Sus scrofa: one gene and its partner. The protein of the gene in region 1 purifies or fractionates together with the protein of each later gene. This does not show direct contact. Links are inferred from orthologs where the notes say so. Each region holds a gene or a part of one and is shown on either strand. Other genes may lie near its edges. The genes, in order: RIMS1 and ERC2.

What was found.
Region 2: the proteins of RIMS1 (region 1) and ERC2 purify together in Homo sapiens (affinity purification with western blotting; 3 studies listed by BioGRID and IntAct, with this or other methods). This does not show direct contact. The link is inferred for Sus scrofa from reciprocal best matches to the Homo sapiens genes RIMS1 and ERC2.

Annotation. Positions count from the first base shown.
Region 1 is NC_010443.5:51,777,775-51,793,003, forward strand, and holds the start of RIMS1 (regulating synaptic membrane exocytosis protein 1), read left to right. Parts: upstream 1-7,425; 5' UTR 7,426-7,745; coding exon 7,746-7,909; intron 7,910-15,229. UniProt on the Homo sapiens protein: Rab effector involved in exocytosis. May act as scaffold protein that regulates neurotransmitter release at the active zone.
Region 2 is NC_010455.5:38,180,955-38,196,083, forward strand, and holds part of ERC2 (ERC protein 2), read right to left. Parts: intron 7,579-15,129; coding exon 7,555-7,578; intron 6,919-7,554; coding exon 6,502-6,918; intron 1-6,501. UniProt on the Homo sapiens protein: Thought to be involved in the organization of the cytomatrix at the nerve terminals active zone (CAZ) which regulates neurotransmitter release. Seems to act together with BSN. May recruit liprin-alpha proteins to the CAZ.

The DNA of each region.
Region 1 (15,229 bases):
TCATGGTTCTAGTTGGATTCATTTCTGCTGTGCCACAACAGGAACTCCTCCAACATTTCTTTTTAATTAATCCAATTTGTCATTCTTTTTAATAAGGAGATTGATTAGATATAGAGGAGGAATTCACTCTCACCACAGGGACAAAGATACTAAGACTCTGGCACTTCAACACAACCAGTATAAACTCTCAGAAGTCACTCTCATAAGAATAAAGCTACTAAGTAGTTAAGTTAGCTAAGACAGAGTCTCTTCATATCACATACAATCACAACTGAAGAATGCTCAAGAAGTTGCTCAATGCAAAGGAGAAAACTGGAAAAGAACAGAATGGAAAAATTATTCTCAAACATTGCCAATTTAGCATTCTAAGACTGACTAATATGGAAGATGATGGGTTCAGAAGAATGCGAAAGAGGCCACGAACTCTGATTTTTAATCAGGAGGCAAGCATTGAAAGGAAATAATGCAAAGAAAGAGTAGTTAAGAATGTTAATTGCTTGGGAGAAGTATGTCAAAAGCTGGTGTGACCCACCAGATGAGAACAGAATGACGTCCCTTCTTTTAGGTCCAAGGACAAAGACATTCCCACACATTCAGTTCTTCACAAAATAAATGACAATAGTGGAATCGTATTAAAAATCAGATTAAAATAGGAGTTTGGCTGAATTTGAGCCAAAATCTGATATCCAGTTCCAGCCAAGCACTTTGAGTGAAATCACTGGAGAGCCAAGCATTCTTTGAAGCCAGAGAGGTGATATTTTTGCAAATTACTCTAACTCTGTATAAATAGAGCGACCATATAATTTATCATCCAAACTAGGACACTTTTAAGTGAAAGAAGATGCGGTTGATAATAATGCCAATACAAAAAGCGCAAACTCAGATGGTCAGGCCTGAACCAGGCCCTAAGATCACCTTATGTATAAACCGTTCTTGTGTTCTGGATTACAGCGATGCTCATGGAAATGGTGGGGAACAATCTATAGAGATGTGATGAGAACTGAAATCAAAGCTCAATGATAAAATTCACTGTAGGCAAGAGAGCATCTCAATAGATGTTGAAGATATTCCTAATTTATTTCCAAATTTCCCAGAAATTAAAAACTTTTTATTTTTATTTTTATTTTATTTTTTTTTTGTCTTTTTGCCATTTCTTGGGCCGCTGCCACAGCATATGAAGGTTCCCAGGCTAGGGGTCCAATTGGAGCTATAGCCACAGGCCTACACCAGAGCCACAGCAACTCGGGATCTGAGCCATGTCTGCGACCTACAGCACAGCTCACAGCAATGCCGGATCCTTAACCCACTGAGCAAGGCCAGGGACCAAACCCGCAACCTCATGGTTCCTAGTCGGATTTGTTAACCACTGAGCCACGACGGGAACTCCTAAAAACATTTTAATAACTATAACTGGAGTTAATCAGAATCCTGAAATCATCAAAGTGCTACTTGCTTATTCCTTGGAGTAGAAATTCACTGTAGGAGTTCATCTCCTGCATTTTCTCCTATCCTCACAGTGATCCGGCCTCCCAGGACTACTTCCTGTTCCTCCCGGGCTCTGCCCCTTCCCAGCTCCAAGCCTTGTGTCCTGTGCTTTCCTCACCTTGGAACACTCTGTCCAGCTCTTCTTCGGCGGGTCCTTCTACTTCTTCAAATCTTGGATCACGGCACCCCTCCTTAGGATGCCATGACTGCCTACTTCCCAGTTTACTCTCTATTAAATCTGGCAAGTTATTTTCTGGAGCCATTATCAAAATCCAGCTGTTCCTGTGTGTTTATTTATGCATGCCTCTCTCCTCCAACAGCCCTGCAAGCGCCTGGAGCAGAGGTCAGCAATCCTTTTTCTGTGATGAGGCAGGTAGTAAATATTTTAGGCTTTGCTGGACATATGGTCTCTGTGGCTTCTACCAGAGCATTGTAGCATGAAGGCAGCTATAGAGAATACGTAAATCAGTGGATGTGGCTGTGTTCCAATAAAACTTGATTCACAAAAACAGGCTTTGAGCTGTATTTGACACATGGGCCCTCCTTTGCCAGTTCCCTCTAGGGCCATTACTTTATATGCAGTTTTCCTTCCCACAGCCTCAGTGCCTAGGCCTAGCATGCAACTTAGCTTTCAATGTTAACAAAATCCTAGAAGGCAGATACAGTTATTTCCATTTTATAAATGAGCAAAATGAGCCTTAGCAAGACTGACTTCACCTGAACTCGTGTAAATAGTCTATCAGCACCCTAGGGCTCCTGTAACAAAGTACCACAATCTGCACAACTGCCTGAAACAACAGAGATTTATCCTCTCACAGTTGTGGAGGTTAGAAGTCCAAAATCCAGGGATCAGCAGGGCCACACTCCCTCTGAAGTGCCCAGAGGAGAATCCTTCCTGCTTCTTCCAGCTTCTGGTGGCATTCTTTAGCCTGGGGACACATCCCTCCCTCCTCTGCCTCTGTTTCCACAGGACCTTCTTCTCTGTGTGTCTATGTTTCCACATGGCTTTCTTCTGTGTGCCTGTGCCTTCTCTCGTCTTATAAGGACACTAGTCATTGGATTTAGCACCCATCCTAATACAATGTGATCTATTTTAACTAGTTTCCTCCATAAAGACCCATTTCCAAGTACAGTCACACTCTAAGGTTCTGAGTGGACATGAATTTGGTCAGGAGAGGAGAGACAGTATTTAACCCACTACATGTGTCAAATGATAGAACATGACCCCATTTCCATGATTTTTCCACTTTGAAGTTATAATCTGAGTTATTAAACTTTCAGTTAACTGCAATGTTCAATTTTAGACATATTCTGAGAAATGATGATTTGAGGGTACCAGTAGAAAGGAGAGTTAAGAAACTTACCTGAGAGAAGCTATGTCTAAGTCATTATTTCTGCCTTGTACCCTGAACATAACATTGGAATTGACCTGAAGGGCATCTGATACATATCTTATGAATAGAGGTTTAAGACACTTTTCTGTAGACTTCATTGCTTGGGCCAGGAGCATTGCATGAAAAGTTCCATGCTCTCTAGTCAAGATTTCTGGATACCAGGCTTATAAGTTGGAGTTTTCCTTATCTAAAGCAAGTCCTCCCTTAGGGAAGTGGCACTTCTATTGCCATCCAAGTACATTTGGGAAATTCCAGGCCAAACCATGTAAAGCAGATTTTGTTACCTCAGTAAATAATTTCTTCTTAGTTAGCATCTTTTATTTATTAAGGTGCCTGGTGAATTTCTAAGAGGAAGGTATTGTGCCCGGTTTTCTAAGTTTATTGGATATTTTTTATAGAGTAACATCAGAAACTAGTCATCTGTGTCACACACCTTGGTATACCTACTTTGGGTGTTTGCTTTCTTATCTAAGTACAGATAAGTTCTGCTTTTCTGACAGCAAACTTGTAGAAGTACACTTCTCATGCATTTGAACCCCTCCATAATGGATAAGATTTCTGGCAGAAGGGGAGACACCAGTGGCTGTACAGTGGCACCTAGCAATTTATCAGTCAATTCATTCTCTCCTTTATTTGTTTATTCACTCACTGATTTCACATATGCTTTTCAAGCAGCAAGAAAGGAGTTATGAGCATAAAGATGATTGAGACCAGACTTCTTGTCATTAAATCCTCTGGAGAATACCCAGCAATCATCATTTCTCAAATTAATTCTTTTTTTTTTTTTTTTTTTGTCTTTTTGCCATTTCTTGGGCTGCTCCCGCAGCATATGGAGGTTCCCAGGCTAGGGGTCGAATCGGAGCTGTAGCCTCAGGCCTACGCCAGAGCCACAGCAAAGCGGGATCCGAGCCACGTCTGCAACCTACACCACAGCTCACGGCAACGCTGGATCCTTAATCCACTAAGCAAGAGCAGGGACCGAACCCGCAACCTCATGGTTCCTAGTGGGATTCGTTAACCACTGTGCCACAATGGGAACTCCACGCAAATTAATTCTAATAAAGGGAAACCACATGTAATGGACTGGATTGTGTCCCCCTAAAATCTGCAGGTTGAAGCCCTAATCCCCAGTACCTTAGGAAATGACTATAATTGGAGATAGGACATTTAAAGAGGTAATTAAGGTTAAATGAGCTCATAACGGTTGGAGCCTTAACCCAACAGCAATGAGGTCCTTATAAGCAGAAGGAGAGATACAAGAATGGGCATGCACCAAGGAAAGGCCATGTGAGGACACAGTAAGAAGGTGGCCAAGGAGAGAGGCCTCAGGAAAAATCAATCTTGCCAACACCTTGATTGTGGATTTCTAGCCTCCAGGACTGTGAAAATAAATTTCCGTTGTTTACGCCATGCAGCCTGTGGTATTTGTTATAGCAGCTTTAGCAGTTGAAAACAACACTGTTAATTGTTCATGATGCCCTGCCTTCAAGAACTTTATTCAGGTAGTTCTAATGTCTACTGAGGACTTCTCATTCCATTATTTGTATCTTAAAAGTACTTCATGAGGACCAGATTGCCTGTAAACCTTTGGAGGACAAGGCGCCTATTGTATCTTCACCTTGACCGGCAGAGATGCAGGCATCTGGTAGAATGAATATGTCAACTACCTTTTTCTTCCCCTCTTATATTAATCCTGGAGAGATGGCCTGAAACATCTCTTAGGGAGAGCAACAAAAAAAGAAAAAGAGAACTATAACGTATTAGAAACATCACTAGATGCTACAAATACGTCTTCTCATTTAATAGCCCTTTTATATCTTGAGGTAAGTATCTTTACCCTCCTCTTCAGATGACGATGCAGAGGTTCAAAGAGGAATTGAACTGAGATCATAAAAATCCCTGGTAGAGCCAGAATTCAAACTCATTTTTTCCTTCCTGAATATATGCTGGCCTGAGGAAAATAAGGATAGAATTTTAAAATGGAGATGCTGATTAGAGTATTTTCATCAAGTGCTTAATTAGAGAAAAGAAGAAACCTGGCTGGACAGCAGCATGTTTGAAAAAGAACTGGAAATTTTGGTGGACTAGGTGTTTATTTCAGTGACATCCTCACAATCAACGTGGCTACCAAAAAGCTAGGCCAATGTTAAGTTATGTAAGTAGAGTTGATTTACAATATTGTGTTAGTTTCAGGTGTACAGCAAAGTGATATATATATATATATCTCACTGCTATGCAATAGACACTTGTTGGTTATCTAATTTATATATATATATAGAGAGAGAGAGAGACAGACAGACAGACAGACAGACAGAGAGAGTACTGTGTATAATTTAATTCCAAACTCCTAATTTATCCCTCTGCCTTCCCCTTTGGTAACTATATGTTTGTTTTCTAAGTCTGTGAGTCTGTTTCTGTTTTGTATATAAGTTCATTTGTATCATATTTTATGTTCCACATATAAGTGAGGTATCATATGGCATTTGTCTTCCTTTCCCTAGCTTATTTTTCTTAGTATGAGAATTTCTAGGTCCTTCCATGTTGCTGCAAATGGCATTATTTCATTCTTTTTATGGCTGAATAATATTCCATTACATATGTGTACCACATCTTCTTCATCCTTTCCTCTGTCAGTGAACATTTAGGTTGCTCCCATGTCTTGGCTATTGTAAATAGTGCTTCAATAAACATGAGTGGATGTATCTTTTCAAAATATGGTTTTCTCTGGATATATGCCCAGAAGTGGAATTGTTCTTGATATCACTATTCAGGACGGCTAGTGAAAAAACACAAGTGCGTCCAAAGGCAGGTGAGGAGAACAAGCAGACTTTGAAATCATGATACATACTTTTGGTTTAATAAACTGGAAAGGTTTAATCTGGAAAAAATTAAAGATGACCTGATGGTCATCTCAAATAGTTGAAAGATTTTCAGGTAAAAGGGGGATTTAGATATAGAGATAAAACTAAGTGTTAGTGAGCCTTCTATTACTGAGATTATTCAAACGGATGTATCCAAGCAGAAGCAACACCTGCATTCAATGTGAGATCAAGTAATTAAACTCTTTATTTTTTATTTTTATTTATTTTTATTTTTTTGCCTTTTATGGCCTCACTTGTGGCATACGGAAGTTCCCAGGCTAGGGATCGAATTGGAGTTACAGCTTCCAGTCTATACCACAGCCACAGCAATGAAAGATCCGAGCCGTGTCTGTGACCTACACCACAGCTCATGGCAACACCAGATCCCTGATCCACTGAGCAAGGCCAGGGGGATCATACCGGCATCCTCATGGATACTAGTCAGATTCATTTCTGCTGCACCACAATAGCAACCCCTTAAATTTTTTTAAACTTGAAGATTTTAGGATTTTTAGGATTCATAAACAGCATCAACATTTTCTTCTTCTTCATTAACAAAGATAGGCTTGGAAGAAAAAAATATCAATGCTAGATCACTTCTGAGCTATAGAAAGACTTCTGCAGGAGATAAACATATCAATCCTCTCATCACCATTTCTAAGAGAAACTATTGTTTAATTCGAAGCCTTGTCTATATTGATTCCTTTTATAAATATATTAACAAAATTCAGTCTCCAAGTTTAAAAGCTGATAACATTAACTGTTTTGAAAGGATTGTCTATTTATTTTTGCCTTTATCAGCAAGAGGAGCTCATCCTTAATGCTTATCATTGGGCCAGGCACTGAGCAGAAGCTTCTTACAATAGGCTGTGGTGGGGCGTTTTTCTTATCTGGGATCAGTGCTCCTTGAGAAGTACCTGCAGAGGCTACGAAGTGAGTACATGATGATAGCATCATTAGAGGAATTAGAGTATATAATCCATTTGCAGGCACCAGAGATGTGCGGTTATGTGATGAGATGGGTTGCCCAGAGCCCGAAAGGACAAATTAAAGATGCGCCTTGGTGTGGGGCGTCTGGAGGGGGAATTCGGATACACCGCACAACAGCCCTTCTGAGGATGGGTCAAGAGAGACTGCGTACAATGGACCCAGACAATCCAGGCCTTTGAAGGGGAGTATGTGTATCAAAATTATCTTTAAAACCACATCGCGGTGGCAATGAACACTTGATCGGTAAATCAGAAAGATACGGTAGGGGAAAAAAAATGCATGCAGAGGGTGTTCCATCTCGTTCAGAAGAACATCGTGGTTGCTCAAATATTATTACTGCTCCACGACGAATATGGGAACGAGGATGATGATGATGAATGCAACCCATGGAAAAATAGGGCTGGCGAGAATGACAGAGCGGAGGGACCTGGAGAGGGAGGATGAGTCACGGGCGAGGGGTACCTGGGCTGGAGCGCAGTGGTGTGCAAGTTGGCGAGCGGGGGGAGCGACGGGGCGCGGGGCTGGGACCGCGAGTGGGCGGGTGGGCGCCGTGGGCGGAGCGGCTCCGGGGCTGAGCTGCCGGCGGCCGTGTCTGAGAGCGAGCGAGGCAGCATCACCCAGAGCGGAGCCGCCGAGACTCCGCCTAACTGACACCCAAACTCTCCTCCCGCAGCCGCGGACGGAGGCGGCAGAGCCGGAGCATCCTCGGCGCACCCGAGCATCCTCGCCCCTCGCCGCGCCCCTGCCCCTGCCCCCGCCCCGCCAGCCGAGGCCCGGCTGCGGGAGGCGGCCGGGCGCCCGCGCCTTGCCAGGGCCACCAAAACAAAGGCAGCATCCGGGGCTGGGTGGAGGCAGAGGACCATGACAGCCCGGGCTCGCACGCGCCGTAGCCCCGCCGCCGCCGCCTCCGGGAGGGCCCAGCGGTGAGCCAAGCAGGGGAGCAGCTGCCAAGCGTGGATTAGAAGGTGCGCCCGCGTCGAGCCGAGGCCCACGGAGGGGCGGGCAGGCCGCGAAGATGTCCTCGGCCGTGGGGCCCCGCGGTCCTCGCCCGCCCACCGTGCCTCCCCCCATGCCCGAGCTGCCCGACCTGAGCCACCTGACCGAGGAGGAGAGGAACATCATCATGGCAGTGATGGACCGGCAGAAGGAGGAGGAGGAGAAAGAAGAAGCCATGCTCAAGTAAGCTGGCCCGGCCGCGCCATCCGTGCCTCCATCGGTCCATTCGCCGCCCGGTACCCAGTCCTCCCGGCTGAGTGTGGGGGAGGGGCGGGCCAAGATTCTGGGTGCGGGCGGAGGCTCCCGCCTGAGGGCCGGGGGGCGGGGGGTCCCGGCCGGGCGGAGGCCGAGGGTACAGGTGGAAGGCGGGGATGCAGCCGAGCCCTGCTCCGAGGAGCCCGGAGAGGATAGCTGGGGACCGAAGTGCCAGGAGGACTGGGTGGACCGGGCCACCCGGGGTGGGATGTGCGGAGGCTGAGAAGAGTCAGTGCCCCAGTGGAAGGAAGGGCCCAGCCAGAGCAGGTGAGGGGCAGGGCTGAACCGCGGGAGGGAAGGCGGGGTGAAGAGCTGCCGAGAATAGCTCCTCTTCTTTCCCTGGAGTTGTTTAGCAGGTCGGGATTACCCCCGCCCGGGATGCCAGTATTTATCTAAGTAAAACGCTGATTTTGAGTGCTCATTTTGTTACTAATTCATTTCACAGATCGAGGCTGGGTCTTTTTTGGGGGGCAGTTGCCATCTTTGGTAACCTGCCTCCCCAGCTTCTCTTTAACCTTTGATACACGGTCTTCTACGCGGAATACCTGTGTGAAGACACAGTTCTTCCCAGTATATAATGCCATTGGCAATGCAAAGTTTTTAATGATGGGAAAAGCTGATGGAGACTCTGGCCTGAATAAAACAGAGGTTCCACTTTACTGGTTTCCAAGAGACCTCGGGGCCTGCTGGGTTCCTGGATGAAGCAGGATAAGAGGGGCTGAATATTTGCACACATCCCTCCTTCTTTAAAGCTCGTCAACCCTGCAAGGGTTCTCCGTCCAGCGCCCCGTTTTCCTGGGTCTGGGAGGGGATGGGGCTGGTGGCTGGCGATGCAGGCATGTGTTTCACTGCACTGCTGCTTGCCTTAGTCTCAGGCAATACAGTTCACAAGGTGCTGGCCTCCCCACCTTCTTCCTTGCACAAGTGTGGTGGAGCTGAAAGGGACTTGAACCCTGCCTTACCCTGAAAGGGCTTCCTGTATTCAGGAAAGTTTTCAACTTGGCAGTGAGGGAATTTAGAAGCCCTGACTGGGACTAATTCCTTGGCATCCTCCGTTAAGGCCAGACGGTGCATCTGGGGGCAGAAAACTGGTGTGAGGAGCCAAAGGGAACCTGTTGCATCTGGAGTTACTGGAGAGCAAAGAGGAACAGCAAAGGGGTGACCCCCCACACCCAGTCACACCCTGCTCTGCCTCTCCCCACCCCTAGGATTGCTGCCTGGATTGGAGATGCTGCCACAGAAGGGAGGTTTCTTCCGCTTCTCTCAGTATAGCAGAACCTCACAGGAGAGGGCTGGAAGGAGGCTGAATTCCCAGCCTGATGGGTCTCCCCCCGTGCAGCTGCTACCCAGCTGGAGAGGGGGTATTGAGGGAGAGATGTGGGGGCCGGTCACAGCACCAGAAGAGAAATCCAGTCATCCCTGCCCTTTCATCACAGACTCCAACAGGGGCCATTAACTCAGAAGGCCAGAGCCAGCCTGCTTCTGTGAAGGCAGCAGGTTTCCGAATTCCCTGCTCCTTCTTATCCAAAAAACAAATACTTTAAGCCTGCCGGCTGGAGGGAGCCAAAACCCTCCTTAATCTGCCGCCCAGCCCTGATGGCACAATGACGTCCCTAGCGCTGCAGGCTTCCCCTCTTCTGAGACTGGAAGTAATGGATGGTGTCTGCTGGTGCTGCTGTCTGTCTGTCTGGTTGTCACTCCGTCTGTCCTCACTGGTTGCAGCCCCTGCCACCTGTCCTGGGCACCTCTTCTGCTGGTCAGAATTGACAGGGTTATTTCCGTTCCTTCTGGTGTTGGCTGCAGATGGCAGGTGGACAGAGGCCTCCAGCAGCCAGTGGAAAACAGGGGTCTGAGCAGGAAGGGAAGGCACAGTGCAAGCAGGTGGCCATCACGCCTCTTCCTTGGCTGTTTCAGGGCTGGTGGAGAGTGAGGGTTTTAAATGGGGGGGGGGGGTGAGTTCCACAACCGAATCTCAAACCTGCTCACTGCCTAAGGACAGCAGCCATCGAATCACATGGGCTTGTAAGGGACAAAAGAAAAAAGAAGAACACCGTCCAACTGTTCATGTCTAAAACCTCTTTCCCGCTGCCACACCTGTGGCTACCCTCTCTGGCCAGTACGTGGTGATCCTTTATTGCAAGGATTCACAAAACATCTCAGTATGTGATGCTTTTATACAACAGCCCTCTCTAATCCCAGGCCTCAACACTAACTTTATCAGTCAGCCTCCTCTGCTACTGTCTCGGCTTTTTGTGCAATGGCAGATGGGGGATGCTTGGGAATCCATCCCCCGCCCGAGTTTGCTGCCATGTAAGCCTGTCCTCGCATCCACAAATTAGTGGGACAGAGCTCAACTTTTTTCTAGAGGGTACTTTATGTCTTAAAAACTGAGGACTGTTGGAGTTAATCAGAGGACACACATATATGGGAACTCAATGACATAGTCACAGGTGGTGACCCTTTCTGAACTTTTCAAAAAGATATATTGGGAAACAGGAGGTTTTTCACAAGGCTTTGAACTATTTGTTAAAACCAGAGATGTGTTTCTGTGGTAATGGATGGTCATCATGGCACATATCTGAGAAATGACTCCCACAACAGGCCCTACAAAGCTGAAGTTCTAGGAACAGAGCATTTAGGCTTAAAATTCACTTTTGCAAAGCCATTGCCTTGAGCTATTGTGTGTGCTCTCTGTTCATAATATATAAAAATAGGCCTTAGTAGAGAGAAGAGAGAAAACTGATGGGTGAATATGCCAAAGAAATATTATAAAATATCAATTAAAATATATTTATACAGTTTCATCAGCCCTGATTGTATATTACTCTTCAATTTGGTCCTGACAATGTCTAAATATGTATAAACGACAAAGAATAATGAAGCTACTTTCTCCTCAAGATTTCAGAAAAAAATTATTTGAAATTAGAAGCACTTTGTCATAAAAATAATTCATTTTGTTGGCAAAGTGCACTAATTTTAAATACCATTGCCATAACTAGAAATAGTTGACTCCTGCAAGTAATTTCTAATGGTGGGATTTAATTACCTGCAAATAGAAGGTCTTTCTTAATTTTAGTAGGCTTTGGGGCTGTGTACGTAGGTGTGTGTGGGTGTAGGTATAAATGTGTGTTCTGGAAGTTTTTTGAAACCTAACTTCTTCAATGAAGACTCCTTCAAGTAACTGTCACCAGGCACCATGAGCCAATATATTACATGGATTGAAAATTGCATTATCTGGGACCTAAATCAGAGAAGATCTCATTTGATCTAAAATCTTATTCCTTTTTTATAAAATCTTCATAGAGAAAGGAGCTACAGAATAGCAAGACAAGAGAAAAAATATAAAGAAGCAGAGAGTGAAAATGATGGCTTGAGGCTGGGAATCAAGAACCATATTGGAATATTTAATAGAACTACTAACATTTATTGAGCATTTACCTCATGCTGGCCATTATTCTAAGTGGCTTTTGAATCAAAAGCCAAATAAATAGTTGAACTGTGTTCAAGTTCAATAGATGTGTATTTGGATTCTCACAACAACTTGTGCAGAAGGTAAGTCAGGTCACATAACCCACAGATCCTTATCCCGCACTCAGAGTTCCTGTAATACCTTGAGTTGACTCACATGAAGTGGCCCAACCAGGATTCAAAGCCAGGCTCTTCATTCTAAGTCCAAGTATCGTCCCACATAGTATACTGTCCTTCTACCAAGATGAAGCCTGGATTTCATCTACCTCTTCCTTATATGAATATCTCTTCTTCCCTTGGTTTCAGAGAAGGGGCTTGGCAAAAGGTTGAGCTGATTCAGAGGACCAGCTGCTGATTAGAGGAGGGCCTGGTGCTTTACCCAGACTCTTAAGAGAGTTTCCCAGTGGATTGAGGGCAAGGACATTGTCTCCAGTTTGAAGATATAACAAAGATCATGAAAAGACCATTTTTTGCATCCAAGCATTTGGGAGTTTAAGTTCTAGTGCTGTCTCTTAAATAGTGTAAGTGTGGCCAAGAAATTGCATTTGGGATTCTGTGAGGTTCTCTTTTTCTTATAAATCCTGCAATTCATGGTGTGAATTGATTTATAAAGTATATTGACTTTGGACTTGTCCCTCTTTCTTAACAGGGACCCTCACACCCACTAAGTCTTCAAACATCTGTAATATGAATATTTACTTCCTTTGTAAGGAAGAGTGACACAGTAGAGGGGTTGAACTCTTATAGCGAAGCTTTTCTTCCTCATTTTTCTCCCTCCAGCCACTCATAATATTGTGACCCAAAATGTATACAGAAGGCTCAGCTTGAGAGACCCCAATTAGCAACTGGGATAGAGTTAAGGACAGAGTCCCCAGGAATGCAGGTAGCATGTTTTTACTGAGTTTTGCAAAGGTCTTGCACACCCAAATATTCTGTCCTATTGCTGAGGCAGGGATGGGTAAGGAGGGGAAAGAGAAAAGGCAAAGAGTAATTGGAGAAAGCTGCTGAAATATGAGCAGGTATCTACCTGTCCCCAGATCCTGTGTTAAGTAGAAAAGTCTGGGGGAGAACATTTACCCTTTCACCCAGCGTCTAGTCTCCTTCACAGCCCTAATGGATAGGATTAAATGAGGGAAAGTTAGCCTTGAACTATTGCAGTTTTCTGCTTTCAGCAAAAACCTACCTTAGTAAATGTGCATGCTTAGTCCTAGGCCCCCGAATGCTCATGGAAAAAATTCAGAAGACAGAAGCCTAGAAGGAAGGAAGGAAGGAAGGAAGGAAGGAAGGAAGGAAGGAAGGAAGGAAGGAAGGAAGGAAGGAAAGAGAAAGAAAGAAAGAAAGAAAGAAAGAAAGAAAGAAAGAAAGAAAGAGAAAGAAAAGAAAGAAAGGAAGAAAAAGAAAGAAAGAAAGAAAGAAAGAAGGAAGGAGGGAAGGAAGGAAGGAAGGAGGGAAGGAAGGAAGGAAAAAGTGAGGTGTTATCAAAGAGAATGGAGGGTAAGAAACATGACAGTTCACATTTTTGCCAGCCTGCCTTGGCTCTCGTTTACCTCTATGTATTCCTTCTTAATTGGAAGTGAAGGGACACTCTTGTTGAAGTAAATGGATTACTAAGTTTGAAGCAGAACATGCAATGTGAGCTACAGGTGTCACTGCTGTCTGGAATAGAAACATCACCTCGGGAATGTTACTTGCTCAAGGTGATTTTGAGCTAACCCTATGCGGTAAGCAGCCAGCTTCCTGCAAAGACATCAAATAGCAATTCCGGCCGTCATATTACTGTCCTAACTCTGTAATATGCAGATGGGTATGCTTGCCATACCATGGATTTTAGAGTCCATGGTATTGCATTTCATTTGTATTTATGGAGTATTTTATATTTTTAAACAAATTTTTAAACAAATTTTTTGCACTTTGTCCTGTGATGGGTGTTGGGTATTTTAGAGCTGGTTCTGAGTGTTGTAAGCTGGCCTGAGGCACATGGAAACTTAATAGAAGCTAGACCCTACACACATGGACACGGATCTTCAGTAATCTTGGAAGTCTTCTAAAGTGTATCAAGGTGTGGGTACCATGGTTTTGTTTCCTCTTCTGTTGGGGAAGGAGCTTAACATTTGAATGTTTCGCTGGCTACTGTATATCTTTTACTCCGCCCCATGCTTACCTCTTGAAAGGTCTACCCTGTGAGAATTCTATTAGTTACTATTAGTGAAATTCCCAGTACTAGCTCAGTGCCTTCCTGACCCTGTGCTCATGACATATGATCCTGAATCTGGAGAATAAAATTTAAAAAGGAGCAAGAGAAGATATCACATAGCCAATGACCTTTTCCAGCCTTTTCTGAGAACCCCAGGCTCTAGATCTTCCCATAGGTGAGAGGATAACCCTGTGGGCACCAGGGCTTTCAGATCTGACTGCTTGGCTCACAGTGTTCCCTAGTGCCTGAGCACTTCCCACCATGTTCCTCCACCATGAAGTTCTCTCTTGTCCCTACCGTGTTCCAAAGTTGATGTATTAGGTAGACTATTTCTGACAAAGTGTCAGGTGATATTCATTTCAACAATAAGACCATTGTTTTAGGTATTAGAATTGGATCAGGCATTGTGCTGTTAAGTAGAATAAAGAGAGAGGTCCTCAGCTTCTAGCTCAGGGTTGGCTTAGTTCTTACCATTTTAAAGGTGCTCTGGCCAGAAAGAGAGGTGAGCATCGGGTAGTTGGACAGAGCAGTGGACTAGATTGTGCTCCGAACACTGTCACTTTCTATAGGTGTAAATGTCAGTAAGTTAACTCCTCTGAGGCCCAGTTTCTTTCTGTGTAAAGTGGAGTTGATAATGCCTGCCCTTCTAACTTACTAAGCTTTAACGTGATGGTAGAGACACCCTTAAACTTCAAATTGCTGTACCAAAGAAAGGGATCATTGGAGTTCCCATTGTGTCTCAGTGGTAACGAACTCAACTAGTATCCATGAGGATGCAAGTTCAATCCCTGGTCTCACTCAGTGGGTCAGGAATCCAGCGTTGCCATGAGCTGTGGTGTAGGTCACAGACATGGCTGAGCTCCCACCTTCCTGTGGCTGTGGCATAGGCTGGCAGCTCCAGCTCTCCAATTTGATCCCTAGCCTGGGAACCTCCTATGCCATGGGTATAGCCATAAAAAGAAAAGAAAAGGGCCATTATTATCTTTACTCTGTAAAGCTGTAAAGAATCCCCAAATCATCTTTTCCTGAGATTACTGCAGCTTTTAGAAGTCCCATGGAGATGGGTTCTTATAGAAAAATTAATCCATGATATCCTGCCAGCAGGGTATGTGGCCAAGGCTGCAGCTCCCACAGTGAGAATTTGGCAGAGGTCAAAGGTAAAATGAGTCCAGAATCTGATCTGAGATTGTATTTACCTTCTTTCTAGCTCATAAATGTCTTTAGCAAAAAAGAGAATTGTGGGGAAAAAAGATAAGATTTGAAATAACTAGAAGGCGACCCTAAATCAAAAATGAGAAGAGAAATTAGCCTAGGATAATTTCCACATCATTTGCTAGGGGAAAAAAAAATGTGGAGAAACAGACTAATGGTTTTTGTGCCACTGGATTTAATAAATCATTCACTTTAAATTAGCTGATTGAGGGGCCATGTACTTGCCAAGGAGTAGTTCCTCTTTCATGTCAGTTTATTAGGTGATGGAATAGATTGCATGTGTTTAAGAACTTTTAAAGATTCTGTGCTGGATGTCTTAGGCTTTCTGTATGTATATTCTTACGCTTTTACATCCAGTTTCTGTGCATTTATTT
Region 2 (15,129 bases), on another chromosome or scaffold:
TTTATCAGGTATGAAACCAGTTGCCAGCTCTCCTACATCTAAGCTACACAGCAAGGTGCCACTTGAGGTCCTCTTAGTATACCACCCCAAGAAATAGTAGTATTTAGTATAGCAGTGTATAGTGGTGACAAGTATAGACCCTGGAGCCAGATTTCCTGGGTTCTGATTGTGTATCCAATGCTTGATACTTAACTCTGTACCTCAGTTTCCTTAACTATGTATTGGGGATGATGACAACAGTCTTCCCTTAGTACAGCATCTATCATGGAATAAGCCTCAATAAGTGTGAGCTATTTCTCTTATTACCCATCTGAACCCCTGAACAAGACTATAAACTTTCCATGGATGCTCCCACAGCATCCTGCATATGGATGTTCAACATGTGCCCAATGATATTCAACACATTTTGAAAAAACAGAACCTCCAGTTAAGCTTACTCTCAAAGCCACTGTTCCACTCCAAACATAGAGCAATGACAGAGAAAACAAAAAGAATATGGTGCTTTTACAACTATAGCTTCTCCAATATTGACAAAATAAACCACCGGATAATTCTCAAGGTATTTTTAAGCTATTTTTCACCCTTTAAATATTTACTGAGCATCTTGCAGGCAATATTTGAGGCCTGGGAATACTGATGGAATGTACTGATTAGGTTAAAAGCTTACTTTATTAAAATAGGGAGCAATTTTTAGGTTCTATTATATATGTTTAATATATATATAAAACTCTTGCAAAAGAAAGTAAGATGTTACGTTTATATGGTCATTTGTGTTTGGGAATATTTTCTGTGATAAGATTTCTTGGTCAAAATAGAATGTATAATTTGTAGAGTCAGAATTAGAAATGCCTGCAACAGCAAAATCATAGCTCAGCCAGCAGAATTAGAGAAAGCGTGTGTAAAAGAGAAAGAGGCCATATGGTTTTGAGAGAAGGGGAAATAGGGTGGAGATTAGTTTGGGCAAAGATTATACAGGGGAGGTTTCAACTATCAGTAAAAGGTTTATGAGCTCAAGAACTTCTAGGTCATCAACTTTACCTTGGTGGCTCCCTCACTGGCCTAGGCACACCTGGATAAATGAGGAGACCAAGAATTCATATTGCCTTGCCCTCCTCCTCCCTGCCCCCTAACAACATGGAGGGACACCCAGGCCTAATATCTCATGGGCTGGGTTAGTAGCAATTGTGGCCCCTCAATGATTTGAGTGCTCTTCTGCCCTTCCTTTCAAAGACAGGCAAGCTGCCCATGGGGATTAGCATAGGAGATCAACAAGCATGGCAGCAAAACATACATCCTTTCCCTTCAAACATCTTACAGTAAATAATTCAAAGTCTCCTGACTCTCTTCGAAGGATCAGCCAAGAAAATACTAAAGAGAATGAATATAGGAGGATCCTAGCATATAAACCCACTTTTTCTTTAATGAGATCAGTAGTATTTTGGGTACCTGATTACTAAAACCTTTATATGGAACAATGTGTTCTCTGTAGAAAAAGCTAGAGAACAAGGTAAACTATTACCACATCAAACAATGTCTTATCAAATCAACCTGTATCCAAAAGCATCAGACGACACTAGTGAGTAATGCTGCACTTCAGCCAACACTTCAGCTCACATTAGCCTGTCAACTGCAGTTCTTGGGCAACAGTTCTAGTCTTCCAAATAAGCTGAGATCATAATCTTTTTGTTGTTGTTTCCTGCCAGGCAAAGAAGTGGTTTCACCCTCAGCCTTTTCCAGACCACTGAAAGATAACAAGATACTAAAGCAACTTGTCCCTCCCCATGTGCAACTCCTGCCAATTCTAAATCTCCTGAAACAATAAGCTAAACAAGGCCAGTATTCCAGGAGATGGGGTTTATATGAGGTCCAACACCTCTGCCTGAGAATGAATCATAAAACCACTAGCACTCCATTCCCCAGCATTACACCATTCAGCCCCAACTGGGTTGAATCGTGCAAAATGAAAAAGAAATCAGGAACACACTGAACTTAAAACCTCAAGTATATTTTAAATCCTGTTTTAGATTCATTTAAATTAACAGAGGTCAGGAAACTTCTTTATTCAAGCTGGGTTATTCTTACCAGTTCAATACCAACATCAGTCAGCCACATTTTTTCCACTAAAAAAAAAAAAAAACCCTGACAGGAGAACAAACATTCTAAAACTCAATAGAGAACATGGAAACAGCTTACAATAAACTTTGCCTTCTAGAATAACTAATGGAGGAAATTACCCAGTTTTTTGGCCATGGGAAACAACTATTTGTATATTACATATTTTATAGGTCACAAATTAAAAGCACAATTTTTATGTTCTAGTATAGCATTTTTCCAAATTGTTCCACAAAGAACATCAGTATAACAAGAAAAAACAAATCAAATAAGTTTAAGAAGCTCTGCTTTCCTTTGTCCTCTTCTTGGAAATGACTGACGTACATTTGCATACTTGAGAGTCTCAGAGTCCCGCAATAAGCTCTATGGGATTCAACATTTTCCCCAAGTTCATTTGGCCTTGCAGCCCTTTGTCTCTCACAACACATATCAATATTCCACAAAATGGCTGTTCTGTGAAATATAATTTGAGAAAGATTCTTCTGAAAAGGGATATAAGAAATAGTTAAGGAGCTGAGACTCTGGATGCAGCCTAATTTAAATACCAGCTTTACAACTTCTTAGCTGTGAAACATTAGGCAAGCTTCTTCATGTCATTTGTCCCTCAGTTTCCAGGCAAATATATGCAAAATAATGGCACCAACTCCTAAGAATAGGCCTTTCCATCAAGTTAGAAATTTTTTTTTCTCAGTGCCTTAGATGGCTGATTACTTTTTATCAAGTTCACAATGTCCCCCTCCCAGAGACCCTCCCTGACTATGCAATATGAAGTTAGCCCCACCCAGGTCACTACTACTTTATCTTCTTTTCCTCATGATAACTCTCTGTTTAACTATTAAACTGCTATCTGTTTCACCTCAATAAAATATGTACCCATGAACTCAAACTTCATCAGTTACTCTATCCCAAAACATAAGTAGTCACAGAATGGATGGGTGGGTGGATGGATGAATAAATCAATGAGTGAATGAATAAATGAGGCTGTGAGAATTAACTGTGAATCAATGTAAAGCACTCTTATTTCAAAAAGATACATTCACTCTATGTTAAAAGTACCACCATACACAATTGTGAACACATGGCAACAACCTAGATGTCCATCAAGAGATCAGTGGATTAAGAAGATGTGGTACATATATACAATGGAATACCACTCAGCCATAAAAAAGAACAAAATGATGTCATTCACAGTAACATAGATACAACTACAGATTATCATAAGAAAGACAAATGTGAAGCACTCTTCATAGTGCCTAACATAAACTTCTAGCTAGATGATGTTATGAAAACTTTTGATGAACAATGAATGGTGAAGGCATTCATAATCATAATTCTTACACTATTTAACTTGACTCTTCCTGCTATATTTTGGGTAAACATTTCATAACATTTATTCAGAGGTATATTGGTAAGTGAGATTTCAGGGATGGGGTGAAGAGGATAAGTAGACCCTAAGAGGAGCATTTGCCAATTTCCATGGTGTAAATATGCCCACAATTCCAAGCTATAAATGATTTACAAGCCCGTTCATGAAATTCCTAGAAATGTAACAAATGGCTCTCGAAAGCCATTATCATCTCTCTCTCTTGAGAAAGGCCTTTTCAGGCTTTCCAAACTTGTTTGCTGAGTTTGAGTTTAAAATAAGATTTTTTTTATAGGCACCTTTTTCCACATTTTCCCTTCTTGATGAGCCAAGATAAGGGCTATCCACTGACTTTGTTCCATTAACAAAATAGTTGGATTTTTTGGGCTACATTTTCTGTACCATTCTCTATGGACTCTTAGACTAATGTTTAAATGTCTAAACATGATGTATATTCATGTCAGATCACTGTGAAGACCAACTGATCTCATAAAATATCAACCAAATTATGTTTAGATCCATTTAAATGAAGCTTTCTACAATAGGATCAAGGCGCCATGTATTAATTGCTAACAATGAGCAGAATCTAATAAAAAAGAAGAGCGACTCTATCCTGCCCCAAGATCCAACATGGAGTGAAGGTCAATGCTACAGATGAAGGTTTCTCTTGTACCACAGTCTTGCTATACATGCAACATGATCCCTTGGCACCCAAAATAAAGCAGCAGGTTTTTTTTTCCAACTATAGAAATCTACCAACCACAGTTTTGAGATAACACAACCAAAATCTCAGAATCCACAGACACTCTACATGCAATGATGATATGCCAGTAATCATTACTTCTCTTCTATAAACTAAATGGAAACTCTATGTAGTAAGACAGGAAGAGATTGGTTTCTCCACCACTGTATTAGCTATCACTAATATCACTGTGTAACAAATCAGCCCAAAATTTAGCAGCTTAAAACAATACACAGGTATTATCTCAGAGTTTGTGTGGATCAGGAATCTGGGCATTGCTCAGCTGGGTCCTTCGCTTCACCATCTCTCAGAAAGCTGCAATCAAGTTCAGCACCAGCCCAGCACCTGTCAGCCCAGCACCTGTCCGCCCAGCACCTGTCATCTTACTCAAAGACTCAAATGGGGAAAAGATCCACTTCCGAGCTTACTAAGTGATTCCTGGCAGTTTTCAGGTCTTTGTGGCTGTTTAAGTGAGAGTCCCATTGCCTCCCTGGGTATCAGCTAGAGGTTATTCTCAGTTCCTTACCACATGGTCCTCTCCACCATGGCAGCTTGCTTCATCAAAGCAAACAGAGCTCCTGTCGTGGCTCAGCAGGTTAAGAACCCGACCAAGTGTCCATGAGAATGTGATTTCAATCCCTGGCCTCACTCAATGGGTTAAGGATCTAACGTTGCTGCAAGCTGCGACAGAGGTTGTATGTGCAGTTCAAATCCAGTGTTGCCATGGTTGTGGCAAAGGCTAGCAGCTACAGCTCTAATTTGACCCCAGCCCAGGAAATTCCATTTGCCACAGGTGCAGTCACAAAAAGGGTGGGGGGAAGCATGTAAGCTGAGAAGGCAATAGAGTCCTACAAGATATAATTAACAGTTTTATGTAGCCTAATTGTAGAAGTGACACTGGCATCCCATTACTTTTGCCATTCTCTTACTTAGGAGCAAGTCACTAGATTCAGCCTATACTCAAGGAGAGGGAATTACATAAGCATATGAATTCCAAGAGGTAGGGATCATTGGGGCCATCTTAGAAGCCTTGCCACCACATTCACTCTCTTGGAATGTGGATTGGAAGACTAGACCCAATAAAACATATTTTGAAGTGTCTCAAGGTAAAACCAATCCATATGATTTCCCAAATACATACCTAAGGTCTCATGAAAACAAAACAAAGGAGAATAAGCATGGAAGATATTAAGCCTGAAAATACAAGTCCTTTCAAATGTGGTAGGCAAATACAATCTCTGTCAGAGAAAACTCCTAGTAGCATCTGCATTAGCAATTCCCAACATGGAAGCCACGTTTTCTGAACAACCAAAAAAGTGACTCACTGGAAAGGCTGCCCATCTGAAAATGTATATAATGGCCAGGAAATCTAGTCTGGTCTGAAAGCAAATGTCTTCTGGAATTTTTATTTATGGTTACAGAATATTTTGAAAATATACTCAATGCCATTTCATTGATTCCAATTTTCTGTGAGATCTGTGTCTGCCACAGCATTTTGCCTGTGTGGTACTTCTGAGATCCCTATCTACCATAGTGGCAAGAAACTGCTGTAAAAATTTCAAACCTTGGCTGTCACCCACATTCTTTCTAAGATCTATCCAACCACATATTCTCAGATATCTGAGCATCCCAACTTTCAATGATGGTGGCAAGCCAAAGAGGCTGCCTCTGAGGGACTTCAAATGATTTAATTCACTAAGTGCAAAACACATACTCAGAAAACCTGGAACATTCTGTCCTACATGAATATAAATGCAGGCAAAGATTACCTAAACATTCAAAATTGGTCTGCACATTTTACCATTCTTTCCAGAAACATCCTTAGGCTTTACTTTCTAAAAATCTTATCCCAAATTCAGATATAAAAGTACTTATAATCATTGTTTTGCTAATCAACTAATCATTTTGCCCTTTAAAAAGAGGATATTTGGTAAACATTTAAAACTTAAATAGTAACTGTATTTAAAAGGCCCTGAAACAATGGCCATTTGTAGGAAAGCAACTGTAAACCACCTTAGAGTTGACATGTGTTGCACACACTTGGATCCTGAATACGTGTTGAATAATAATGGAACATATGTGTGGTTAACAGAGGGAAAAAAAGACTAATGCAAAATTTCAGTTTAAAGGTGATAACTAGATAGGAAGGTTATAAAACAGATGACAAAAAGAATTTTGTTAAGGCTATAGATATCTTCCAACCTGTGAAAATATCTTGATAACATATTTAACATGTTTTAAGTTGTAAAATATTGCTTTGGGGAATGAGAAAAAGTGATCTTACCTCTCTAAGATGTATGTTTTCCTTCTCTTTCTGATCTAAAATCACTTCTAAATGGCTGACTTGAGACTCAGCCTCTGCCATCCGCCGCGTCCGTTCATTGTCATCCTCAAGACTTTTGGACGGCAAACCTTTACTTTGCAACATCTCAAGAAGTTTTTTAATTGACTCATCTCGGGCATTAAGGGTCTGTTTCTGCGTTTCAATTCTCAGCTCCATCTCCTCCAAGGTCTTCCTCAATAGGAATAGTTCCTTAGCCTGCCTGTCGTGCTCGGCTTGGAGCCGCCGGAAGTTCTCCTCAGTCAGTTCAATGGTAAAGTGCTCTGCACCTCGGTTGCCACTCTCTTGCTGCAGGAGGTGGTTGAGGTCTCTCTGGGTTCGCAGCTCATCCTGAAGGGCCTGGATTGTCAACTGCAGGTGCTATGATGAGAAAGACACAGCAGGAGAGGAGAAAGAAGGGGGAAAAGTCAATGGAAATGCCAACTGCTATTTGCTGCTACCACACTATGAAGATGGAATGTTAATCATGAGGTCCAGAGGGCCAGCTGCGAAGTCCTCCAGGGTGACTTCGGAAGCATGGCACATTACATGGAGAGGGGGAATTAATTCAATGATACTTTTTGAATGTCATAAGAGAAATGTACACATACACAGAAAACAGTATATTAGTGTCAGTCACAAGGTAAATTATACATCTACAGAGTTTTAATTTAGGAATTGGAAAGGGTTAGAGGGAAACTTTCACAAACACGCCTTCTTTACATCCACAATGCTCCAGAATCAGTATTCCTTGTTTCCTAGGGTGCTCTTTATTCTACTGTTATTTTCTGTGATAAATGCATGTTTGTTTAAAAATAAAAATAATAGCATCCACTACAAGTAGACACAAACGAGGACTTTATTTTTTACAAATAAAGCTGTGAAAGGTTTAGTAAACAGGATTACTGCATCTGCAAGCAAAAGGGAACAAATGCAGACAGAGACAAACACACTCATACACAGGAGAAAGTGAGGCTATGCAGAGCAAAATGAACGAGCCGCAAAGAGTGGACAAACCTTGGTTCTTCTGGCATCCAGTAACTGAACAGCGTGGGAAATGAAAAAAAAAAAAAAATGAAGCAAAAATCAACACAAAGAAAAGTCCAGTGCAAGCAAGGATATTTAACAGAAAGAACTTAATCAACATAAAGTACCTTCACAGAGAAAAAAAAAGAAAAAGAAAAGCGATTTCTTATTACAGCAAAGGCCCATAAGCTACATAGAATTTATATCAATGCTTCATAAATGTGATTTTAGAAAAGAAAATAAAGTGAGGTTTATTCTACCTTTTGTTTATTTAAATCTCACTGACCCAGGAACCCAATATCTTAGGTATATTACCAGGGAGGAATACACAACACTCCAGAAGTACCCCCCTATCATTCCAGGTCAATATTTTAACCAAAATCAGAGTGAAGTGCTGTAGTTACCAGTGGTGAAAAAAGAAACCCTTGTATGAAGACAGCTGGTGAATTCAGCAGTACCCTCCCCACGGGGCAACCCCCAGGCTAATGAAAACAGGCAGCTATAAACTGAAGGAAGGAAGAAGGCAGGAGGCTTCCAAAACAGAGTTACTCATCCATTCACCAAACACGTTTCCCTGGTGCAGATCAGACACAATGACAAATATGGGAATCAAGATGAACCTAAGGGGGGGCCTAGATCCTGCCTGAAGGGAACTCTCGGTATTATAAGGAATGGATAATACCCTATCTAAGTTACATAAATATTGGAGCAGTCCACATTTGGAAACCCTTCTGAATTCCACAGAGAGATTGAGATTTTTTTGAGTGTGGCCTGTATCCAGAAACTAGCACCAAGTGATACTTTTATTAAACTTTTCATTGGTGTCCACCCAAACTTTCCATTTAGGAAAATCCATTGAGAAATTCCTAGAGCATGGCAAACAACTACTCTTTCTCAGGTATGTGTCACAATACGTGCCAGGGTACTGAATTCAAAGTAAACAACTGTTATATATATAATTCACCCCAGTAAAATGTAAAATGCAGTGCTTTTTAGTATAGTTAAAAGTTGTACAACCATAAACAAATAATTTTAGAACATTTTCATCATCCCCAAAAGAAACTCTGTACCCTTTAGAAGTCATGTCCCATCCCTTCTCCCTACCCCAGGCCCTAGTAACCATTAATTTCCTTTCTTTCTCTATGGGTTTGCCTATTCTAGACATTCCATACCAATGGAATCATGCAATTAGTGATTTCTTTCTTTCACTAGCATGTTTTCAAGGTTCATCTATGTTATAGCATGTATCAATATTTCGTTCTATTTTAATATAGATGAATATTACCATTACAGGGATATACCACATTATCTTTATCTATTCAGAAGTTGATTCATACACAAATATTCATAGCACCATTATTCATAGTAGCCAGAAAGTGGAAACAACCTATATGTCAATCAACTGATGAAAGAGTACATAAAATATGGCACAACCAGGTCCAGTGACAGAAATAAACTGATGATTATCAGGCGGGTTTGGGTAGAATGGAAGATGACTGCTAAAGTGTTTCTTTTGAGGGTGATGAAAATGTTCTGGACTTAGTGGTGGTGTTGTTGGTTGCACAACTTTGTAAATATTCCAAAAACAAATGAATTTTACATGTTAAATGGGTGTACTGTATGGTTCATGAATTATATTTCAATACAAGTGTCACAAAAGAAAACATTAGGTGGGGTCATAAGATGATGTGGTCCCCCTCCACCAGCCAACCATCCCTAAACCACAGCAAAACAAAGTCCATAGGAGTATCAACCGTCTTCAGCCCACTGACGTGGCTGTTGCCAAGCCTCTTGGGAGTCTGCAACTGTCCTCAAATCATTTTAAACATTCTTGACACTGGCAAATCTTTGCCCTTTGAACATGGCTTGGGTTTCTGAGACAATCCAAGTTTACATGGAGACAAACATGAGGAATCAGGATGATCACACTGGAAATCACCTTTTCTGAGAGTGACCAAAAATAAGACTGACTTTCTAATGCAGTTCACATAAACTAGCCAGTAGGGAATTTAAAAAAAAAATCAACTATAATGGAAAAATCATAATTAATTAATTAATTAATTTAACTGCCAAAATGCTTTGAGCAAAACAGCAACAATGGAAGATAACTCTGTTAAAGGTTTGGATGAGCCAGTTGCCTACTGCCCTCATCCTTTGCTTCCAAACCTGCAAAACGGGGATAATCATAATACCTACCTCATAGAGTTTCTGTGAGGAGTAATTCAGATAATGCATCAAGTGCTAGGTTTGAGGGCAAAAGGAGGGAGGAAGTTTGGTAGAAAGGAAAGTAGAAAAGAAGAATGAGGAGAGAGGAATGGAGGGAAAAATCAATCCACTTAATTATTCAATATGCATTTACCCAGTGTCTTTCTATACTCCTGAAATATCAAAATAGAAAACAAAGGAAAAGAAATGGTCCATGCTCCCAATCCATGTGGACAAATAAATCGATAGTGGCAATACAATAGAAGTCATAGCCATGTGGTTAGAAATGCAAAGAGAATGTAACCCAGGCTGGACACATGTAAGAAAATACCCTAAACCAAGAGCTACTACTGAGCTTTGTCTTCAAGAATAAATGAAAGTTAAGCCTGTGGAGAATGATGGAAATAGTAAATAAAGTAAAAAACCCCAGAGGCAAAGACAGACCAGACCTATTATGGAACAGTAACAGCAAAAATCTCTATAGCCCCTACCACAAGCCAGGCCCAGTTCTAAGTTTTTTATTTCTTCACAATTTCTCAGTCATGTAACCACTATTATGATATCCATTTAACAAATGAGAAAATGGAGGGCCAGTGTGGTTAAGTAACTTGCAGGAAGTCACCTAGCTAGTCAAGTGGCACAACCAGGTGTTCATCCAGGTAGTCTGACTTCAGCACCCCTGCATGAATCGCTATACCATCTGACCTCTGAATTGGCATAAATACTTCAGGATGGCTGAAATAAAGAATAGGGAGGTGGGCAGGAGTGGTGAGATGGGCAGGCAATTATGACAGTTACAGAAATTCTTAAAATTAAATACTAACCAAGCTATTCCTTATTCAGAAGTTGTCATGATACATACTTCCATGTTGCACATTTATTAAGAAGTAAAATTTATTTTCCAGGTAGACTGAATGATCTAAGCATGACCAGTCTGATAAATCAACCTAAAATTTAGTGTTCAAAAATTTCTCAAATTCACATATCATGTATTTCCATTCTCTCTCTCTCTCTCTTTTTTTTTTTTTTTTTTTTTTTTTTGGTCTTTTTGCTATTTCTTGGGCCGCTCCCGCGGCATATGGAGGTTCCCAGGCTAGGGGTCGAATCGGAGCTATAGCCACCGGCCTACGCCAGAGCCACAGCAACGCAGGATCTGAGCCGCGTCTGCAACCTACACCACAGCTCATGGCAATGCCAGATCGTTAACCCACTGAGCAAGGCCAGGGACCGAACCCGCAACCTCATGGTTCCTAGTCGGATTCGTTAACCACTGCGCCACGACGGAAACTCCTTTTTTTTTTGGCGGGGGGAGGGGGGGTCTTTTTGCCATTTCTTGGGCTGCTCCTGCGGCATATGGAGGTTCCCAGGCTAGGGGTCAAATCGGAGCTGTAGCCACCGTCCTACACCACAGCTCACGGCAACACCGGATCCTTAACCCACTGAGCAAGCCATTCTCTTTTAAAATATTTAAGCAGGAATCTTGGAGTTCCTGTCATGGCGCAGTAGTTAACGAATCCGACTAGGAACCATGAGGTTGCGGGTTCGGTCCCTGCCCTTGCTCAGTGGGTTAACGATCCGGCATTGCCATGAGCTGTGGTGTAGGTTGCAGACGTGGCTCAGATCCCGCGTTGCTGTGGCTCTGGCGTAGGCCGGTGGCTACAGCTCCGATTCGACCCCTAGCCTGGGAACCTCCATATGCCGTGAGAGCGGCCCAAAGAAATAGCAAAAAGACAAAAAAAAAAAAAAAAAAAAAAAAAGATAAGCAGGAATCTCTTTATTTCTAAAAATGGATCCTTGAGCAAAATGAATGTACCTCGTAGAACACTGATAATCTTTCTGCTTCATAGGATGGGGAGAAATTTTAAAACAATCTCTCCCCTTCTCTTTCCCCTCATTGTTTTAAAGAGTCAACTCAATCAAGTTTCAAAAATTATTTACCATATATCTATATCTAGTTGGATATTTAACATAGACAATTTCAATTTTAAAATAAAGTAACAGCACTTTTAATAAATAACCCACTGAAATTAATATCCTCTCTGTCTCAATTTTCTTATTTGGAAAAGTGAGAGAGTAATAATTCCTACTGCATAAGGTTATTATAAGGATTAAGTGAGTTAATACATATAAAGCTCTTAAAAGTAACAGGTAAACAGTAATCGATTATACCAACGAGGATAGGATAGGGTTTGCTGCTGTGAGAACAGCACAAAAACCCACATTCTAAAAGATAAAACCCACCTGACATGCTGATGGCATGGTATCAGCATTCTTAGAGCTCAAAGAGGTCTTAAAGTTTAGCTTGTTAACTTCGTTTTATATATGAGAAAATCAGATCCACGAAGGTTAATTGACAGGCCCAAGAGCACACATACATTGCCAAATCCAGGATGTTGGTTTCTGGGATCCTGGACTCCATCCTGGTATGTATTCCAATAACCCTAAGAGTAGACCAAAAGGGGGTGGGGCTCTCCGCTTTGACAACTTAGGAAAAGGCAGTGGTGTCTTTTATTGAGAGGATGAGAGATAAGCTAAATCATTTAACCTCTGCATCACCAGTCCTACCCAGTAGTTAAATAGCCTGGGATACTCCAAGGGTAATTTATTTAGACCGCCATTCTAAGTCCTTGCAAAAGTAGTAATAGCTTCTATGTAGCTATCAGAAGACAAGCTCAATTTTAAAAAACAATAACTCTTAAAGATCAGGATACAATAGTACAGGTGAAAACTCTGGCAAAGCCAAAAGTACTTTCTATAAAGGTCAAAAGACTTAAAAAGTAAAAAAAAAAAAAAAAATTTTAAAAGATACACACTTTTTCAATTTCCTCCATTCCTTGATTATCCAATTCCTTCAAATTGAATCGTCTTTCCCTTCTCAACCATGAAAGCACATTTCTTTGAAGCAGCCACTTAAACTTCACTAGATCAATAGCCAAGGGCATTCCTTTCAGTTTGTTACCTGCATCAAGTACCTACAAACAAGCAAATTTTAAGGCTGTGTTCTAGGGCCATTTCTCTGCAATCTCCCAGTCATCACAGTGGTCTCAGCTTCCCAAAGCCTCAACCACTCCTCTTGCTTCCACCCCACTGCACATTAGGAGAGAAAATCCCTTCCAATATCCATTTGCATCAGGATGAGACATCACCAGGGTCCCAATCAACCTGCTATCAACTTGGAACACCTAATTCCCTTCAAGCACAAAAGTGAACCTGGTTGGATGAATATTCAGAAAGTTTTTTACTCCCCACCCTGATAGTAGGATCATCCTCTAGCTGTCCTCAAAGAAATCTAAGCTCAAAATGCAAACTTCCTTCTCCACAGCTGACCACTGAGAACACCACAGAAGAAAACAAAGCTGTTTTCAGCTAAAACAGTCAAAGTAGCTGCAACAAAAGGGCATCCACCTTCTCTCTGCAGTCACTCTGCTAGGAGTGCAAATAAAATACATCATATTTATCCTGGTACCTGGCCTATAAACCAGAACTTTTTAACCTTTTCCTCCCACACCTAAATTTCATACGTTGAACTCTGCCCTGGATAGGAAAGGCTAGCCCTATCTCCAGTCCAAAGAAAGAAAAAAGTTTAAAATCATTGTTTTGCCCATTAAACACAGGTAAACAGAATGGGAGCTAAAAAGATGAGTCTGCCCAATTGATTCCAAGACTCAGACAATAAAGGAAGTCCTAATGACTTCTGTTTCTGGTTTTATGGTAGGCTAATTTTCTGATAGGATGTCCTAGTACTCAACGGTCAGATAAAGGCAAATAAATCTTTCAAAACACTGCTATGCTCACACAAAAAATAAGGAAAATCTCCAAGAGAGAGAGACAGAGAGGAAGATTGAGAGAGAGAAAGTGAGTTTCTCAAGGTCAGGTTCTGGGCCAAATTTGTATCAGACCCCAAGCCTAGCACATAATATGCATCAAATAAATAGTGAGTAAAATATGGGCAGAAAGTTAAAAAGACTAGAAGGAAAACTGTCTCACCGGTCAGCACGGGGTAACAATGAGGCTGGTTTCCACTCTTCTTTGTTTTGCTGTAGTTGGGGTGGGGGGAGTTGGGGGTAGGGGAGAGTAGGAAGAATATCCTTGACCTCCGATTACTCTTTCCTGTTCTCAGCCCCAAAACTCAAAATTCCTCACGTCCACTAGCTCACTTGTCTGACAAAACTGCTCCAAAGCTGCCAGAACTATGTCCACTTCAAAAGAGAATAAATTGGGCTGGCTTAAGGGATTTGACTGCAATCACATCGTTAGCAAATACAGGCCAGGGTCTAATATTGAAGTTTACTCCAGCCAATTCTGAAGTCTCCCCCGATCTAAACATACTATAGAACTTCATTTTGCACAATTCTTACAGGCTTCAATAGTCATTCAACGTTGAAAAAAGGAGAACAATGAAAATATAAGAAACGAAGCCATATTTGAGTTCATATAGAAAAGGAGGGAAAATATACTTTTCCTTAGCCAACATTTAAAACAGGGACTTCCAATAGCTACTGGAGTCAGAATCTAATCCAGATTTCAGAATGTCTCAAACACAAAAAGGTAAATAGAATGAAAATATAATTATATATGTATAATGTGCATGGAACACACAATTATTTAAATAGGGACTAGCCAGATGTTTAGAATCTACTATGTCTTATCCCCAAACATGGAAAATATGAGTTCCTGGCAGATTTGAAAAAATTTGTGACCTTAAGCTCTTTTCCACACTATGGGGAAAAAACAAAAAATGATAAAGTTTTGTACTATAAAGCAGTTTAGGGTTTCATTGCTATGAAAACCGTCTCTTAGCTATATAAAAATATGAATTGGCTTATACCCAAAAGCCTTGAACTTTTTTTTTTTTAATAAATCCATACTCCTTCTCAAGCAAGGGCTTAACATAACTCTTTCAAAGAAAACAAAATCTCTTTGCAGACAACTTGGCCTGCTCTACTTCTCTTGTGACTTTATTTTCCTATTTATCATTTTCCAGTTTGTCTCTACTCAAATATTAAGGGCAAGTTCTCTGATCCCTTTTTCCATAATCCTGTGTGCAGGATGTGCAGCACTCCTTGTGGCTCTAAACCTTCCATGCGCTGTGTCATGTATATGAAAAGATAAACAGCAGGCATTGGCTAAAAACATGTGGCCCGTGTTCTGTACAAGAGTTGCTCTGCTGAGAAAGGTATAAAAAATTAATATTTAGACATATGGTCTTGGGCTTTTTCCTTTAGGGTAGACAGAATAAGCATGTAGGTAATGAAGAATATTGATAGGTGATTTTTTTTTAAAAAAGCACCAAAGCAGCAGGATTCTGGGATCCTCACACAGATGCGCTGTCAAGTGATAACTGCAAAATCCACTTTGGTT